Linked DNA regions of Caenorhabditis elegans. The protein of the gene in region 1 interacts with the protein of each later gene in a biochemical or structural test. Each region holds a gene or a part of one and is shown on either strand. Other genes may lie near its edges.

Region 1 (3,679 bases):
CACTTTTTTCTTCTTTGAGAAAGGCAGTTTGGAAACGTTTCAAAAAACACTACACTACATTCTAGCATACTTTTGAATACTTCCACGTATGGTGATTCATTTTTCTTCGCAATTTGGATACTCGATGCCAACAAAAGATGAGAAAAAGGTGGAAGGAGCAGTAGCAGATGTTTGAATGACTATTCAATGTACTTCTGAATGCAATGACGGTAGAAACACAAAGAAGATTTGATTTCGTACGAGAAGATGGTCACATTGGAAGAAGAATGAGTACGATTGACGACTATCAAAATAATGTGTGAGACTGTGTGGGTAAAGAGAGCGAGGCTATTTACAACACGATCCACACGCCCGACGATTCTTTTTCACTGATCGGCGACACGTGATCAACATGTGGCTGCGGTTGGGTTCACCCTTTTCTTTTTCCAACTGATGCGATCATCTGACGGAGAAAGATACGGAAGGTGTGCTATCTTTATAAATATAATCTAGACTGAAGATGAAGATAACCATATGATAGTTGCAATGCAAAAATGTTTATTACTTCTATATTAGGTAATAATTAAATTGGCTGATGAGTGCAAGGCGAATGGATTGTGAGAGTGTTGAGAATGAGAATTGGCGGAAGGAGAGCAGATGAGAATTTCAGGCAAAAATGGAAACAATGACACGCAAACGGGGGTAACTTATTGAATCGGTTTCAGGAGAAGAAATGTTCTTCAGAGAAATAACAGTCAAAAGTGGATAGATCATTAAACTTGGAGGTTGATTGGCAAGAACTGCGACACGTCAAATGGGGTAGGTGGAAGATTCATGAGATCAAAAACATTATGAGGGTAGACCAGAGGTCTTGGAAAAGTGATTGGACCCCTTGGGATAAGGCCTTCAGCGTAAAGGTCGATAATTGTTGGCTTATGTGAATCCATTGGTTTGCTTGATGGTGAGTACTCCAGGTAGCAGGGTGAATCGCGAGAAGATGTGGAGGTGAAAGAAGATGCTCGAGATTCGGGTCTGCTTTGTGAAAGCGTTTGGCAAGCTTGGCTAGTTGCTTGAGCAACTTCTTCGTCGGCTTGAAGTTGGGCAAGTTCTGCAACAAGTTCATCCTGTTCGTCTCTTAAATCGTTAAGCTTCTTCATTTGAGCTGCATTGCTGTCTTGCAATTCCTGCAAAAAAAATTAATTAATAATTGAACCCAATTGGAAATAACTATACAATTATTGTTGAAGTTACTTCTCATCCTCTCTCTTTCTTTTTTTTCGGAAGTTGTGGGAGTAGTGGGACTAATTGGAAAACGGGACAGAAAAGAAAGGCACTTTGCATCATCTTCATGAAACGAAACAAGGACTGGCTAGAGTCACGAGACCAGGTGGTAAATAGTGAGAGAAATGAGAGAAAGGATGGTATTGTCACACGACAATGATAACACGCTAGACGCACGTGGATGAAACTTACAATGATGTGATCTCGGGCTCGTGTTAACAGTGCAAGCGTCGTATTTCTGGTGGCATCGCTGACACATGGGACCAACATTTTGAGAGTTTCGAGGCATCCTCGGAGGTTAGCTCGGCGGGTTTTCTCAAGCTCGTTGTGTGCCGTCCGGCTGTGCTTCGAAGATTTTCTAGCTGGTGGGGAGGAGCAGTAGGGTTGAGATGATGTAGAGGCATTGGATGCACACGATGACTGTTTCTTGTCAACTTTTAGTTTTCCACAGAAAAGTGATCGGAGTTCGGACTCTGAAATAAAAACAGTTACTAAGACTATTACGAAATGTCATGTCTTTACCATTTGAAAGATCGAACATAGCTGGTGAGGAAGATCCTGGAGAGGAAGATGTGGAGGTAAGTGCTCCCAGATCTAGGGAAGAAATGTCAAGAGCGCCAATGTCTAAAAGACGTGCGGCGGTGAGAAGATGTCCAAGGTTGAGTTGCTGTTCCATTGCAAACAAGGAATAACAACTGGGGCGTGTTAGAGGGTACGACAAAAAATGGGATGCTTTCTGGCGGGTCGTTTTGCGTCCAGACTGAGGCGCAGGAGAAGTAGGAGGAGGAACGAGGGGTGGGGAGCGTCAACCAACCCGACGTAGGGGAGGGCCCTGGGAGAGACGATATGCAGGGCGGGACACGACATCAGAGAACGAACTAGGAAAGCACCGAAGAGGCGGCAGACGGCGAGAGGTAGTGTGTGTGTATGCACGTGCGCCTCGCATGAACTTGCTGTGGCAAGATAGGTCTCCGATTGCGTCGGGGGTAAACCACATTGCTTTGGGCTGCGCACGCAAACAGCGCAAGACCTCGTTTTCGCCCCTCTTCGCTTCACACAGTCACCTTGGCCCCCAACCGCTTTGCGTCCGCGCGGGACACACGCGGTGGTAGCCTAATATGGAATTTTCTTCTCGATCAGACAGCAAAATCGCAAGATCGGCGATTCTGTTTGCGCGCGGTTTTATTTCCGTCTTGTTTTGCAAAAATGGAGAGAGGTACAAAGAGCAGCAAATATATGATCGGAGATGCGATTAATACCGAACGGGGTCGCGGTATGTCCGCTGCCGCTACCGTCTAAAGTAATTTGCGAGTCGCTAGCGTACTGCCGCCGGAATCGGGGAATACCCACGTGAATTTCCTCACATGCAATGCATTGGATAGGTATTTCCGAACATGTCATTAGGTCTTGTGATTTTGATGTGACGGTTGCAATCCGACAATATTCGCCGGTTACAATTCATCACGTGTCTTCAATTTTGTGAAAGTTGTATTGTCGTGCTTGTCAAGTAGATGACGATATGATGGCTGAAGTCACAGAAGATGTTGTGAACAAATTGTTTTCAAACTCATGTACTGAAATCATATTTTGCGAAAATATTAGAACATTGAGATTGTTATGTTTTTTTTCTAGAAAATGATGTTAAAATCATTGCGATATTGCTAACTGGAGCATGAAGTTGTAATACTAATTCAAGTTCTTATTCTTGCGAAACGTCCTTTGCGGTTCAACATGTGGAATTCCCCAACATTGAGTCACTTCACATTACTGACGCTTACGAAATACTATGATCTTTTCGCTATCCGGACTTCCTGCATCGATGTCTCCAGTTGCAAAAACGCAAAAATAGTTCACGTGAAAGTGGCAAAGGGTCCCGTAACAAAACTATGTACCCGCCGTGATTTTGAAGCCTCACGTGCAGGAGCTTGGCAATTCTGTGTCACACTCTCTCATACACACGGTACTTGTTGCGATTTTCCTGATCGATGAGTACGAGAGAAAATACATTGATCACGAGAAATTGTTGTCGGGCGAAAATAAGAGGAAATGTTTTGTTTATATTGTTTTGTGTACCACGTGTTTTTTCTGGAACACTCCTTTGCCAGAATACTTTGCCCCATTCCTAGATCTTTTGATACCTCCGTTATTGAGCAGGGTTCAAGAAGAGCCATAATTTCTTGGGGAAGCCCTCGTCACACAGCCGAGTACGTGCCAAAGTTTGAAAATACTGGAGCAGCACGCAACTTGCATTCACATATACTTCCAACTTCCCCTTTAATCGAAAAAGGCTCCCGAAAGCTTGCCTCCGTCGTGCTCTGAGAATTCGATCTTTTGACCGCTTCGACTGGCGCGCGTGTATGTGTGTATTGGTTGAGTGTGTCTATATGCGTGCGGGAAAAAGAGAAGTCCAACGGGGCCT
Region 2 (3,209 bases), on another chromosome or scaffold:
GTAACTCTTTAAATGACGACTGTGGCACCGGTGTCGGTTTACGGAACTCAATTGTGAATCGGTAAAATAATAAGAGAACAAAAAAACAAAACGTGACGAAAAAAAAGAAAATTGAACAATGCTGTCACAATTCTGCTGTCACAATAATTCGAATAGAAATTCGTTTCGAAAATCGAGTTCTCGTAAATCGACACCAGTACCACAGTAATCGTTGTAAAGTTACTGTAGTTTTCAATACGAGATATTTTGTTCGTCAAATATGTTGCACAATACGCATTCTACGAATTTAGTGTTCCTTTAATATTACAGGAATGATAAGAAGTGATTATACATTATAAGATACAATTTTTACATATGTATTCTCTGTCCTACGATACTTGTTTTCCAGTCTCTTTATGTTCACACGAGCATTGCCAAGTTCATTTGAAATGTGTTGGATTAAGTTGATGACTATGATCAAGATAGTTGCACAGTAATGAACATCCCGTGAAAAATCAGAAAATTTCAAATTAAAGAATGTCTTTCAAATAATGTGCAAAGTCAGGATAAAATGCAAACATTTATTGTACTATGGCAATTTTGGAATGGTTAGTACTACATTACATTATTGAGCATGCATACACGGTAGTTATTATTGAATTATCGACTGCGACGATGACGGATCTTTCTTGGCTTTCAGGCGAGCTATCTGAAAATGAAATTGATGAGATTAGTTGGCTAGCCCGCGTGATTTCAATCAACGATAATAATGAGAGCTGTAACATGATTTAAAACATGATTAAAACAGGATTGTAGATCTGAATTATTAGGGATTCTAAGAGCGATTGACTAAATGTTTCAACAGAAGTATGAGCATGAGGGAGGGAGTTTCTAAAAATTATTCTCAATCAACTTCAACATAACTATATTACAGGAACGCAATATCCTGGGAATGCTATTGCGCAATATATTTAACGCGCAAAATATTTCGTTGCGAAAACTACAGTAACTCTTTAAATGACTACTGTGGCGCTCGTGTCGATTTACGGACTCGATGTTCGGAATAAATTGAAATCAGTTTTTTATCGAGAAAATATAAACATTAATCAAAAAGTGAGAAAATAATACAAAAAGGAAAATGGAGTATCGCTGTCACTATTCGAAAATAAACTCATTTCGAAAACTGAGCGCGTAAATCGACTTAAGCTCTACAGTATTAATATAAAGAACACGGTAGTTTTCGCTACGAGATATTTTGCGCGGCAAATACGTTGCGCAATACGCATTATCAGAATTTTTTGTTACCCCAATATTGCATAAATAAGAAATATTAACTAACCTCTTCTCTGAGTTTTGCATTTTTTGATTCTTGTTCGGCAACATCAACTGACAACGTTGCACTATCGGATTGGCCTTTTTCGATCGACTCAATTGCTTTTTTCAGAATGACAGCTCTCGATGCTTGAACCCTTTCCCCGTTGGCATCAGGGACTACTTCTCTCAGACTTGTGTACATATCCTTGATATTATCACGTCTTCGTCGTTCAAGAGCGTTGTGCTGTTCTCGAGCATGCCGCTTCGGATCAAACGGCCCGCTGTGTTCTCCGGAACCACAGTGACCTGTCTGGTCATCTTCGAGGTCACTCATGTCAGACATCTGAGGTTTATTTTCCATTAGGGAAGTGAACATGTAAATAATATTTAATTTGAGATATAGAAAAAGGCTCATGAGAACCATGTAAAATAACTTTACACGTAAATTGTGTTTTAATAGCATATTCATTATCACAGAGATCTAATAAATAATATGTAGGTAATATATACATAAAACTTAAATCGAAGATTGATATGAAAACAGACCATGTAACAATAGATCAAACCAAAAAATACGAATAAAACTTCTTAACACTGGGATAAGAAATTTGAAGATTCACGAGTATGTAGTAAAAGTGAAGACTAGAGAAATAAAAAAATTGAATATGAGAAAATAGAATGGTGGGAAAGGGAAACTTAGACAAACAATTGGCCACACGTTTGGAAGAATCTTATCTATACATGTAATTAACCTCAAAACCGGCGTAGAAATGTATAAAAAGCACTGGTGTAAAGTATAGGCACAAAATTATCTTCTCCTATTTCGTAGGTTATAGCGTTGTCTGTTGTTTTGAATTGGACGTGGTTGTTCCACTTGAACTCTTTCTTGCTCGGGAACAGGAGGAGTGACAGATTTACGTGATGGGAATGTAACGAAGCGAGCTGTGCTGAATATGATGAGGGTGAATCCGGAAAATAGTTCGAGAGGCGATGTGATTAAATAGAGGAATGCTGGCACAAGTCCGTAAACGAGTAATCGCAAAGTAATCTGTCGATTTCCGAGATTTGAAACAAGACCGAAGAGATAGAGTCCGCCGGCGTAAAATGCAGGTTGATATTGCAGTTGGTACACGATAAGAGAATCCGTCGAGAACCACGGGAAGCCGACCAGTTTGAGAATATATGGGATCAATGTCGGGAGAATCAGAAGAACTGCCCGTGGATGATGACGCTGAAAGAAAAAACAATATTAAAAAAGTTGTATTACTTTTCCAGGTTACTAACATATGCGAGGAGAATAATCAAAACAATTGATCCCTCATTTCTTGCCATGATTGTGATTGCTGATCCAACCAGGTACAGGCCATTCATTAACTTGTCATCGCGGAGCGCCAAATGTCCTGTTTTGACAAATCCAATTCTTGACACAATAAGCCAGTCAACGACAAAGCATATCGCTCTCCAACCCAGTGCCATGAAATATCCCAAAGCCATGGGGAGTGTAGTGGTGTCCGTGTAGTCTGTACTTCCGTGAATCACAAAAAATAAGGCAACAAGGTTGGTCAACAAAACAGCCGTCGTACTGTAGAACAGTGTCTCACGAACCAAAATAGCGAAGAATACGCTAATCACAATCATGGTTCCGCCTACTTCATGTAAATGAGAGAACACGATCTGCAAGAAACTATAAATTTCTGAAAAGCATAAATCGAGACACTCACCTCATAAAAACGCCATAACTGCACTGTCATTGGAGGGCTCATTTGAATATCAATACTACAGGGAGCTGTCACATCGAGAACTAAACGAACTTCTTCTTTTTCCAATGCTCGATAAATCCACGTTTCCACTGCACCATCCGACGAGTTTTTGAAATACATCATAGATTCATCATAACGAACTGTGGTCATAGAGTT

The links. Proteins that work in one complex are often made in the same cells at the same time.
Region 2: the proteins of mdl-1 (region 1) and mxl-1 interact in far-western blotting, tested with the Caenorhabditis elegans proteins (one study listed by BioGRID).

What each region holds. Positions count from the first base shown.
Region 1 is NC_003284.9:6,740,743-6,744,421, reverse strand, and holds mdl-1 (Mad-like protein 1), read right to left. Parts: upstream 2,072-3,679; 5' UTR 1,937-2,071; coding exon 1,783-1,936; intron 1,734-1,782; coding exon 1,453-1,733; intron 1,164-1,452; coding exon 753-1,163; 3' UTR 523-752; downstream 1-522. UniProt on the Caenorhabditis elegans protein: Transcriptional regulator which binds to the E box motif 5'-CACGTG-3', when in a heterodimeric complex with mxl-1.
Region 2 is NC_003283.11:11,243,266-11,246,474, reverse strand, and holds mxl-1 (Max-like protein 1), read right to left. Parts: upstream 1,637-3,209; coding exon 1,319-1,636; intron 689-1,318; coding exon 632-688; 3' UTR 549-631; downstream 1-548. Other genes in the region: pgap-1 (GPI inositol-deacylase), read right to left, coding at 2,102-2,524, 2,578-2,967, 3,015-3,209. UniProt on the Caenorhabditis elegans protein: Transcriptional regulator which binds to the E box motif 5'-CACGTG-3', when in a heterodimeric complex with mdl-1.